Cricetulus griseus: one gene and its partner. Each later gene encodes a partner of the first gene's protein in a complex. Links are inferred from orthologs where the notes say so. Each region holds a gene or a part of one and is shown on either strand. Other genes may lie near its edges.

What was found. Proteins that work in one complex are often made in the same cells at the same time.
Region 2: Med25 (region 1) and Med19 share a complex: the UniProt entries of both Homo sapiens proteins name them as parts of the mediator complex. The link is inferred for Cricetulus griseus from reciprocal best matches to the Homo sapiens genes MED25 and MED19.

The regions. Positions count from the first base shown.
Region 1 is NC_048599.1:153,714,058-153,719,737, forward strand, and holds part of Med25 (mediator of RNA polymerase II transcription subunit 25), read right to left. Parts: intron 5,655-5,680; coding exon 5,569-5,654; intron 5,500-5,568; coding exon 5,442-5,499; intron 5,159-5,441; coding exon 5,051-5,158; intron 3,582-5,050; coding exon 3,393-3,581; intron 3,099-3,392; coding exon 3,027-3,098; intron 2,926-3,026; coding exon 2,707-2,925; intron 2,572-2,706; coding exon 2,391-2,571; intron 1,974-2,390; coding exon of another isoform or gene 1,876-1,973; exon of another isoform or gene 1,844-1,875; intron 715-1,843; coding exon 449-714; 3' UTR 1-448. UniProt on the Homo sapiens protein: Component of the Mediator complex, a coactivator involved in the regulated transcription of nearly all RNA polymerase II-dependent genes.
Region 2 is NC_048599.1:90,843,559-90,849,872, reverse strand, and holds the end of Med19 (mediator of RNA polymerase II transcription subunit 19), read left to right. Parts: intron 1-1,639; coding exon 1,640-1,896; intron 1,897-2,026; coding exon 2,027-2,123; intron 2,124-2,595; coding exon 2,596-2,690; intron 2,691-3,554; coding exon 3,555-3,623; 3' UTR 3,624-4,452; downstream 4,453-6,314. UniProt on the Homo sapiens protein: Component of the Mediator complex, a coactivator involved in the regulated transcription of nearly all RNA polymerase II-dependent genes.

The DNA.
Region 1 (5,680 bases):
GCGTGGTGCATCTGGATTCCTTGGTGATTGACGCTAGGACCTGACCCTGGTCCTTGACAAACAGTGCCACTTGGGATCGAGGTTAGGGATGGCCCTCATGATGGACGGCCCGATCACTGTGATGGGGTTGTAGTTGTGCTTATGAATTCTGATGTGTGCATGCACAAAAGCAAGCCACTTCAAAGTGAGGGGCTGGCTTGGTGCCACCTCACAGACTTCTTCAGCTGCATGGAGATCACCACCACCACAAATAAATAAAGCTAACCATGTGGTCAGAGTTTCTGCACAGCCATCAAAAGGCCACAGCTGTGGGTCAGGCAACCGGACCCCATAAGGCCTCTGACTCCTGTGTACTTCAGCCTGCAAAAGCTTGTCAGACTCACAGGGCAGCCTTGAGGATGCAGCTCTGTTCAGGACACGGACGTTCTCTCCACATCACTTGTGGCTCCTACTCCGGGTTCTCCAGAGCCTCGCTGGCTCTGAGGGCCCTTTTCAGCTCCTGCAGGACCACGTCGCGGTGCTGTGCTGTGTACTGGTCGTAGCTCTTACTGTGCTGGGACTCATAGTGACGCTTCAGGTTGTACTCTTTCAGCACTGACACGTTTTTTTTGCATATTAAGCACGTGGGCATGTTCTTCACTTCCACAAAGAAATAGTCTCGCTCCCATTTTTCTCGAAACACGCGGCCCTCTCCTTCTTTCTTTCGTTTGGCCACTTTTGAAGGAGACATGGGTACAAGAAAGATTTCACTTTTCTCTGAATGCTACCACAGAACCACCACGGTGCCAGCCCCGTGACGGAGGCAGGGCTTTGGCCTCACCGTGGAAGAGCAAGAGAGAGTGGTGGGGACTGTGGCGAACCCAAGAGCATGAGCCCCACTGATGGGGCAAACCCAGCTACTACTGCCAGGCAGAAGGGTAGACCCAGGGTGTCAGTGTTTCCGACATGTTGAGGAGCAATTGTGCGTGTGTGTGAATTTCACTTAAGTTTTATAGCTAACTGGAAGGAAAAAAGTGACACATGCTAACACAGGGAAGGCCAAACAAAACTCATCTGTGGTGGCCCACGGGCCACTAGACTGAAGCCTCTCTTCTGGGATAGTGAGTGACCTGCACATTAACTAGCGTCCCAGACCCAGGCAGTGGTGGTCCAGGCACAGACCACACTCACAGTTAATATGCCTGTGTGACAAATATCTCACAACATCTCCAAGGAGACCACCTACAGACAAACCTGAGAACACCCTGCAAGACAGGGGCTTCCTCACTTCCCCACACCTCCAACTAGAACCTAAATTGCTACTGCTTCAAGCACAGCACACTGTCCCATGGGGACATCCTGACTGCCTGGTGTGGCATGTGTCACCGGAACAGTCCTTTGACCTTGCCTCTGGCCTGCCCTGCTCCTACAAACCAGCCTTTCTGACATCAGCCCCACTGGAGATCTCTGTGGTCCTGCGTCCCCAGGACAAGTCTCAAGCATTCCAGTCTGGCTCCTCCCTGTAATGCTCATGCTCCAGGAGCATCCACCTCCTGACCTTGCCTGTCCCTTTACTGTGGCTTTGGCTATCTGCACCTTAGTACCTCCTGGCTCCCAACTGCTGCTTCTCCTTCCAGGCTCCTCGGAACCCTGGCTGGGTCAGAGGCATTCTGGGCTCTGTAACCCCTTGAGTGCACATGAGCTGTACACTATCTGCCCACCTGCCTCTGAGTCTCCCAGAACCAGGCCTCACCATGCTGCCTCCAACTCCCCCCGTGGCCCAGCATCACCCAGCCGGGGCCTTGGGGAGTCTGCAAGGCGAGAGCAAAGACAGCCCTAGGGGCGTCAGTGACGGGAGCCGGGAATCGTTAAAAGGAACTTTATTGGGTGTTGGGTTCAGATGAGGTCCATGAGGATGTCGTCCTCCATGACGCTGGGCTGCAGGCCCGGCTGGGGGACCGGGCCCCGGGGACCCCCGCTCAGCAGCATCTGACCTGGGGGGCAGTGGGAAGGGACTGCATCTCCCAGTGGTCCCTGGGACCATTGAGGACCCTGGACCTCTCATCCCCTCTTCTGGGAACCCAAGGCAGTCAGGTTTCTAGGAAGCTCCAGGGACCACCAGAGCCAGGGATCCTTCTAAGCCCAATTAGATGCAGACATTTTCCTTTGACCCTTTGGGAGCCCTTCCCCCGACAGCATCACTGACCCTAAGGTATCTTCCAGCATCCCAGGGCAGCATATAAGGATTATGGAAAGCTCTCACTCACTGAGGCATTGTTCCCATGGCTAAACTTCCCAATGGCCCTCTAAGCCCCCTAGAGCTATGGGGAGGCCCTTTGGTAATGGGGTCCTTGCCAGTGGCTGCAAGGACTCCCAGTCTAGACCTCTACCCTCCCCTAGAACACCCTTACCTGGCAGTGGAGCCCGCTGGGGAAGCTGTGTGGGCCAAGACTGGGCAGGTGGAGGGTGGAGGAGTTGTGGCCCCAGCTGGGGCTGCCCCAGGCTCTGATGTGGTGGAGGCAGCAGTGCAGGGGCCCCTGGAGGCTGCAGGTGGTGGAGGGAGGCCTGGGGTGGGGGTACCCCAGTCTGGGGCTGGGGAAGACAAAGAATGGCTCAGAGGGCCCAGTCTGTGCTCCAGAAAGGCCCTGCTGGTACAGCCCACCCCTTCCTCCCAGAGATACTGGGTAAGAACCTGCAATTCCCTGTTGCTCTATTCCCATGCCTCACCGGTGGTGGGTTAAGGAGGAGGCTCCGCAACTGGGGGTTGGCCCCAGGGTTCTGGGGCCGAAGGATAGGTCCAGAAGGTGGTGGGCCGGGGGCTGTTCCTGGAGGACCCTGGGGTGCTCCTGTGGGGGCCTGGGTAGTACCTTGTGGCTGGGGCTGCCCTGTAGCCACAGAGGCCCCCACAGCACCCTGAGGCTGGGGCTGTGGTGCACGGAGCTGGAGCTGGAGAACAGACAGCGTGAGCAAGGACAAGCAGTAGGGAACTGCCCTAGCTCCACCCAACCTCCATCCCCAATCCCACCAGTCCCCACCCAAGTCCTCACTAGGTTCTGCGGGGGCCTCGCTTGGTCCTCCAGAATGGGGCCCAGGCCTGGAAGTGCCTGCTGTGCCCCCATCTGCACGGGGACAGAGAGGACAGATCAGTGGTGAGGGAAGGCTGTCTGAACCTGTTGGAGGACCTGGTGTGTAGGAGGAAGGTGCCTTTCTTTGGGGACATACCATCTAGTAGGTGCATCACACCCTGCCTGACCAATAAGGAAGGCCTGTATCAGGGACTGCCGTGGAAACTGAGAAGGGACTAAAGCTGCTCTGCTAGGACACAAGGGGCACATTGGACTCAGACAGGCGGCTTATGGCTGACTGGGCTCTGGGGAGCTATGAGAGGACACTGGCTTGCCACTACCACTCACCCCTCGCTGCTGCTCCAGCTTCTGCTGCTGGACCTGCTTGTGGTTGGTGATGACCTGGCGGATGCCATTGACAAAGCCACTCTGGTCGTAGGGGATGAGGCCCATGAAGATCTTTTTCTTAGATGAGTACAGGAGCATGAGCACACGCACCTCGCATGGGGCTGTATGCGGGAAGTGCACGCAGCCCGCCTGTGGACAGAGACTCTTCAGAAGCAGCCTACCCGAGAGGCATGGGCTAGCCTACCTCAGCCTATAAAATTCTACAAGCCTTATAGGCAAGAGGTAGGGAGGTCTCACTGTACAAGGCCAGGGAGGCCAGGTTGGCGCAGCAGCTGCCCTGGAAACAAAAAATTGTGAGTGACAGGCACTCAAAGGGCACAGCAAGACCAAAGTCCCTGCTGACCACCGAGGAGACAGCAGGTCACACCAGAAGCCCATGGTGACCCTGACTGAGTGGCTCTACCTCATGTCTCCCACTATATAGCACTGGGTTATCTCATCAAATCACACTGGACAGGGCTCCACTGGGGAGGGTGGCAGGAAGTCAGGGTCAGACCCTTGAAGGTGGCTCTATCTCTGCCAGGGCCTCCAGCATGGACCAGAGAATGGCAACATCACAAGGATGCCATTTTGGGATTCAGAGTCTCCATGGGCTCTCAGGGAACTAACTGGCTTTGGCTACCTGGGTTTACTTCTCAGGACTTGCAGCTAGTGCATCAACACACCCCTCTCCTTAACCCAGTCCAGCACAGAACAGGCAGTGCCACCCAGGCCAGATACTGGAGTGTCCTCCCCTACAGGGGTGCAGCCTAGGAACCCAGCCAGGCCCAGATAAAAGGAGGCCTGGTCAGAAGTTGTGAACATTTCTCGCTTCCTGAAGTCATTGCCTCTTCCAAATGTTTAAAGGGACTCAAAAGCTAAGGTAACCATCTTGAGCCTGTGAGAGGCCTAGGCATTGAGGTCACTGAGCTCTCCTTCTGTATCCTGGCCTGCAGCAAAAACAGGCCATTTGTTGGAACATTCCCTCAGAATTCAGTGTTTTCACTGAGGAGGACAGCAGATGAGCCACACCACAGAGGGTTCTTGGCCCAGCTGACCTTCCTGACAACAGCCCCAGCAGACCCACAGACACGAGAGAGGTACAGCAGGCAACAGTGTCAGCGGAGGTAAAGAGGGCTGAGAGGATGATGATCAACAATCTCTGCCTGGGGAAAACTCTGGGCATAGAAGTCACTGTCGCTAATCCCATGCACACACAGGCACTTGGGTCTTCCCTAAACACAAGTTCCAACCCACTAGCCCCCAGGAAGGTGAGCTGACCTGAAGGTTATATGAGGCATGAGGGCAGGCCCTATGCAACAAAGTGGAGATACAGGAAAGAACAGGGCCAGAGAAGCCAGGCTGGACTGCACCGCACATAGCTGCAAAACAGCCCTCAGGAGCCCGAGGCAGGAGGACACCCAGGTGGAGGTCTTACTACACAGCAAGACTTATCTCAAACCATCAACAAATGCAGGCCCACGGGACAGGGACACAGCAGATGCTAGGACATGTGGCCCTAACTGCAGCACCACAAACGACACCCAAGGAAAGACAGCGACTCCTAGATGCAGGACTGTGGGCAGAGATGGGGAAGGAAGTCAGTGCCCGCCACTCACGAAGCCATTGCCCATGATGCGGTAGAGGCCTTTGAGGGACTCCAGGTCCTTGTTGGTGAAGTGAAACTGGACCATTCTTGAGTTCCGGAACAGAGGGCCCAGGGTAGTCTGGGAAAACGCAGGCATCATTCGGGGCAACACAAGGTAGGGTAGTCTGGGAAAACGCAGGCATCATTCGGGGCAACACAAGGTAGGGTAGTCTGGGAAAACGCAGGCATCATTCGGGGCAACACAAGGTAGGGTAGTCTGGGAAAACGCAGGCATCATTCGGGGCAACACAAGGTAGGGTAGTCTGGGAAAACGCAGGCATCATTCGGGGCAACACAAGGTAGGGGAGATTATGTGGGAACGGGGGACAAGGGCCAGGCAGCTCCTGCCTGGCAGGACTCACCAGCAGCTGCTGAGGGATGAGCTGCATGATCAGTTTCTGGGGCCACTGCTCTGTTTTCCTGTGGGACAGAGAGAGGAGAATCAGGAGGGGCCAGGCTAAACCTACCCCACCCCTGACAAATACCTACAGGTTTTCTCCATGGTTCACATAGACCTGGCAAGGCAGAGACCTCGTCAGCTTGGTGTTAGCATCCACAGATGCAGGCTTTGGTTTCTGGAAGAGGAAGGGTGAATTAGCCA
Region 2 (6,314 bases), about 63 Mb from region 1:
GATGCCAATGCACATAAAATAAAATTTTAAAAATAATGAAATGCAAAACTATTATCTCATTACCTAGATAAAAGGAAACAATGGCAGAGAGGACAGCTAGTATTAGAGTTCTAGTTGCTCATGTTGAGTAGTTCTTTCTAGGTAATACTTGGTATCATAAAGAATAAACATGTTGGTCACAAGGTAATCATAACCACAAAATCTGTTTGCCTATGGTGACTAGTCTTCCTGTTTAAAAAAAAAGAATGCAAAGCATGGTGGCACTTACCTGTAACACCAGCACTCAGGAGGCTAAGGCAGGAAGTTGCCACAAGTTTGAGGTGAGCTAGAACTACCTAGCAAGATACTGTCTCAATATGTAAATACACTGCCAACAGAGGGCCCCTGACAAGACCCTCATGTCACTGCATCAAATTTGACTTTTAGAGTATCTGTAACTAAACTTCAAGGTTCCATTATCCTGATCCAGGCAGAAATGTTTCTGAGACATTTTATATAAAGTGGAATAATACATGAATCAGTGTCATGTAAGTTATTCTAGCTAGTCTGGTTTTGTTTTGTTTTCAGTTTTTATATGCCCTACTTTGCTTCATTCCATTTCCATTCCTCTAGCCCATAGTATAGTATTTTGTGTTTATTATGTATTACTGAGTTGAGGGTGTTTGAGACAGGAACTTACTATATATAGCCCAAGCTGGCCTTAAATGCAACTGTCTTGCATCAGCCTTCTTGAGTGCTGGCATTGCAGGCTTACAGGTATGCACCACCATACCTGGCTATCATATTATTACAGGGTTAGTGTCTGTTACCTAAAATGCTTATCTAAAATGTTTCAAATTTGCAGTTTTTCAGAATATATGCATAATTTTACTAGGTTAAAAATCCCAAATTCAGAAATGTGAAGTCTGGAATGCTTCAGAATTTTGACACTTTTTGAATCCTATAATTGTTGAGTAAGGATAGCACCCATAGGCTCATTTATTTGAATGTTTATTGTCACCAGAGAGTGAAACTCCTTGAATAGATTAGAAGGATTAGGAGGTGTGGCCTTATTGGAGGAAGTGTGTGCTTTGAGGTTTCAAAAGCCCATGCCAGGTCTAGGCTCTCTCTTTCTGCCTGTGGATTATTAGTAGGTAACTGTCAACTCCTTCAGCACCATGCTGCCATCGTGCTACCCACTATGATGATAATGAATTAAGCCTCTGAAACTATAAGCAAGCCCCCAATTAAGTGCTTTCTCACAATTATAAGAGTTGCTGTGGTAATGTCTCTTCACAGCACTAGAACAGTGACTAAGACAATAGTTTGTGTTTTTTGATAGATTCCTCATTAATATTAAACTATAGTCTTTCGTGGGGCTGGAGAGTTAGGAGATAACTCAATAGTTAGGAGTATAGGCTACCCTTGACCCAGGTTCAGTTCCTAGGGCAGCTCACAACTATCCCCAGTTCTAGGGGATTCAGCTCCCTCTTCTGATGTCTGCAGGCACCAGACACACACATGGTACACATGTATATATGTAGGCAAATAAACATACAGATAAAACCAAAACATTGTTTTTTCCTTCAATTCCTTCTGGGTTGGTGACAAAAAAATTATCATCTGCTTTTAGTATAACTTTATTATTGCTGTTTTCTAGGCAGCACAGAGCTGACGGGCAGCACCAATTTAATCACACACTACAACCTGGAACAAGCCTATAATAAGTTCTGTGGGAAGAAAGTGAAGGAGAAGCTAAGTAACTTCCTGCCTGACCTGCCAGGGATGATTGATCTCCCTGGCTCCCATGACAACAGCAGCCTCCGCTCCCTCATTGAGAAGCCTCCTATTCTCAGTAGCTCTTTTAATCCAATCACAGGGACCATGCTGTCTGGTTTCCGCCTCCATACTGGCCCGGTAAGTCCCTTCTTGGGGAGGAAGAAAACAAGTGGGGAGGCCTCAAAAGCATGGAGGTAGTTTTATCTCCAAGTCTAGAAGCAGGGAGTTGCTCTCTCTGCTCACCTGAACCTTCCTTTGGTACCCTCAGTTGCCAGAGCAGTGTCGACTGATGCATATTCAGCCTCCCAAGAAGAAGAATAAGCACAAGCATAAACAGAGCAGGACCCAGGATCCAGTTCCCCCAGGTAAGCACTTTTGTTCAGACCACCAAGACTCTGGCCCAAGTCTACATGGCCTTCAGTTAAGCTTAGTTCCTCTGGACTCCCAGATTTCTCCAAGAAGAAATACATGTGTTGACATTTCTTGGACAAGCAGTGACTTAGCACAGCTGCTCTGCCAGCACCTCTATATCCTTTCTGAACACGCAGAAAAAAAGCAGTTCCCCTGGTATTAGGTTTTCCTGTAGCCTTAAGAGTTCATAGCAGTAGATCTTTTTTTTTTTTTTTTTTTTTTAAACATATATTTATCATGTATACAGGGCATGCCAGAAGAGGGCACCAGATCCCATTACAGATGGTTGTGAGCCATCTGGAATTGAACTCAAGACCTCTGGGAGAAGTCAGTGCTCTTAACCCCTGAGCCATCTCTGCAGCCCATAGCAGTAGATCTTAAACTCAAATCAAACTTAAGGTTATAAGCTCTTAATGTCTCCTACAGAAACGCCATCTGATTCAGATCACAAAAAGAAGAAAAAGAAAAAAGAAGAGGATCCTGAACGGAAAAGGAAGAAGAAAGAGAAGAAAAAGAAGAAGGTAGAGGGTTGTTGTAGTAACTGGTTTTTTGTTTTAATTTATGTATATGTGTTTCTCTACACTAGTGCAATGCCCACAGAGACCAGAAAAGAGCTTCGGCCATGGAGCTGTATCACTACCACTCTATGTAGTGCTGGGAACTGTACTGGGGTTTTCTACAAGACAGTACTTGCTCATAACCAGAGCCATCTCTCCAGCCCCCATCTCACCCTTCTTAAATAGAATCCTTTGCCTCAAGTTGGACCCAAGAGCAGGGCAAATCCAGGGCAAACATTTTTCTTTTACAATCCTGGCCAAAGCTAGTTCTTTGACTTTGACTCTTTTCCTTTGAGGTAGTGTCTTAACATTGAGCCATATCTAGTCTCCTTTTAAAAATTTTTTATTTTGCTTATTTTTGGTTTTGCGAGGCAGGGTGTCTCTGTGTAGTTTTGGTTCCTGTCCTGGAACTTGCTCTTGTAAACCAGACTGGTCTCGAACTCATAGAGTGCTGGGATTAAAGGAATGCGCCACCACCTGGCTTATTTTGCTTGTTTATTGATAATTTTTGAGACAGTTTCACTGAGTTGCCCAGGTAGGCCTTGAATGTGCAGTCCTCCTAACTCTACCTCCAAAGCAACTGAGGTTACAAATCTATGTTAGCAGGCTCCATAGGTTTACTTAGGTTTTTTTTGTTGTTTTGAGACAATGGCTTGAGATGTAGCTTTGGCTGGCCTGGAATTCACTATATAGACTAGGCTGGCTTCTACCCCAGAAGATCTGCTTGCCTCTGCCTCTCTGTAGAGGGCTGGGATCAAAGGCATGTACCATATCCAGCAAGGTCATTTTTTAATTTCTAAATGTTCTTATTCCTTTTGTCTCCTCTAGAACCGACATAGTCCAGACCACCCAGGTATGGGAAGTTCCCAGGCCAGCAGCAGCAGCAGCCTCCGCTAACAGGACTACTGAACTCTGCCAAGGATGGCTTTCCTGCTGACAAAACTGTCTTCCAGGCATTGCCTTGGGATATCTAACAACTAGACAGAAGCCAGCCCCTGCTGTACTTGTGACTAATACACTTTTAGAGAAGGGCCATGCTTTTTTATGGTTTAGTCCAGTTGGCTTTTTCATAGACATACCTTTTCACAAAAAGCTGTTTTTGTTTTTTTGTCCCCCCACTTTTGTGTAATTTGATTTCAGGAGTTCATTTGTTAGGGTTTTTCTTTTTTTTTTAAAAAAAAAAAAGGTGTCTTTAACAGACTGGCTAGTATGGCTACCTTTTTAAGAGGCAAGTGTCATTCTGTATGAGGCAGTTTAAGATAAGGCACTGCTAAGACATAAAAGATTTTAGATTTTGTCATCACATTATTTCCCTAGGCCAAGAAATTCAAAATTAGAGCAGAGAACATGGTCAAAAATCAGCAGTTTGCTATAATATTTTGCCTATAATGTTCACTGCCAAGTGCCTGGATTATATTCAACCCATCAGGAAAGTTAGCCAAAGTAAGGTTTATGCCTGTGTTGATATATAACAGGGACTATTAAAAAAAAACCTCCCACCATTACCACTGTATTTTAGCAGGAGGAAAAAAAGCCTGGCCAGGCGTTGGTGGTGGCACACGCCTTTAATCCCAGCACTCGAGAGGCAGAGGCAGGAGGATCTCTGAGTTCAAAGCCAGCCTAGTCTACAGAGTGAGCTCCAGGATAGGCTCCAGCTAGCCAAGCTTATCTTTTCCCTTGTCTTTTTTTCCTGTGTGCTTTTTAAATGAATCTCTGGCAAGAAGTATAATGCTTCTCTTATTCTTTAGTTTAAGAAAAAATGGATTTAGTTGTTTGGGAAAAACAAAGTTTTTGGTTTGTTTTCTGGAACAGCATCTTACCATGTAACCCTGTCAGGCAGACTATTCGGGAACACAAGCTCAAGAGACCCACCTGCCTCTACCTCCCAAGTTCTGGGATCAAAGGCTGGCTTTTGATTTACTTTTGCTGGGCGGTGGTGGCACACACCTTTGATCCCAGCACTCAGGAGGCAGAGGCAGGCGGATCTCTCTGAGTTCGAGACCAGCCTGGTCTAAGAGCTAGTTCCAGGGCAGCCTCCAAAGCCACAGAGGAGCCCTGTCTCAAAAAACCCAAATAATAATAATAATAATTTACTTTAATGTGCATTAGTGTTTTGCCTGCATGTATGTCTGTGTGAGGGTGTCAGATCTTGGAGTTACAGATAGTTGAGAACTGCCATGTGGGTACTAGGAATTGAACCTGGGTCCTCTGGAATAGCAGTCAGTGCTTTTAACTGCTAAGCCATCTCTCCAGCCTCTACTTTCTAAAGAGGAAATAACACCAGTTCTCTAATATTTCAAAGACAGAAGTTTTTGTTATGAAAAGTTAGGTTTCTCTCACCTAGTAGGACATTTAATTTGACAGCCAGAAAAAAAGTAGACCAGAGAATGAGGCTTTCCTCTTGACTTCCCACAAGACCATTCACCTTGCCTTAACCAGATAAAACACAAGTCAGGGGGAGCTGGTTAGATCAGGATTTATTTTATTCTTTGTTGGTTTAAAATGGCTAATCAGAATAAAAAAATTAAAGGGTCTCTGTATAGAGGCTGGGGTCTTCCCTGTTTAAAGGTTAGAATCCAGCTACCCCCTCTACCCAGCACCATATTGAGGTGGGCTAAGGGGTAAACCCCAGGGGACAATTGGAGGGGCCTAGGTCTGCCACTCCTTCTCTCTATCCCATTTTTGGCATATGATGAAAAATATTGCTTTTTGGATTCTTCTCTTCTGGCCTTGGATTTTTAAGATCATTTTAACTGTAAGTAATAGGGAAGCATTGAAGAGGTCCACTAAGCCCACCACAATCCCTATCACCCAAAAATGGGGGGAGGGAGGTTGCCTGATGTTTTGTAAAGTAGATCAAGTTCTTTTCCTGATCTCCCACCACCATCATGAAACTGTGACCCCTTTCCTGGGAAAAGGATGTCAATGAGCCTAGAAAACTCTGCAAGTTCCTTTATCTGACCAAGAACCCCAGACTTACCCAGGTTTCTTTCCTAATCACTTAGCACCAGCAGAGGGTGCTATTTCCTTAGTTGATAACTGGGACAAAAGAGAGGGAACCATGGGGAAAAGGAAGACTTTAATGTCTCTTTTTCCTGCTGGTCTAAGGAAAGGGAAGAATAAAATCCCCCTCCTTATATATATATCTATATATCCCTCCCTTGTTTTCCCATCCCAGGATAGATATATAATTTCTTTGATATTTATAATATATATATATGTACACACACACCTGGTAACGGAGAAGAGGAAAAAAATAGAATCCGTAACAATAATAAAAAAAATTATTTCTGGTTTAAAAATGATCTGGTTCCCTCCAGGGTGAGCAATTGCACAAATGTCCACTGAGTCTGGTCCAGGGATCAAAGAAGGGAAGGTCTTATAAATCAAAGGGGGGGATTGCCACCCCTGACTCAGGGCCCCAACTCTCCTCAACCCCATGGCATTTTGTAAAACAAGCCTCATCCTCTTGGAATCGGTAGTTTAAAAATGTCCATGCAAAGTAAGGGAGCCCCTTGAGGGAAAGAAGGTGGCCACCTGAGGCCCTTTGGTGTAGGTGTAGAGGTGTGGGGGAGGGGAGGTGCCAAG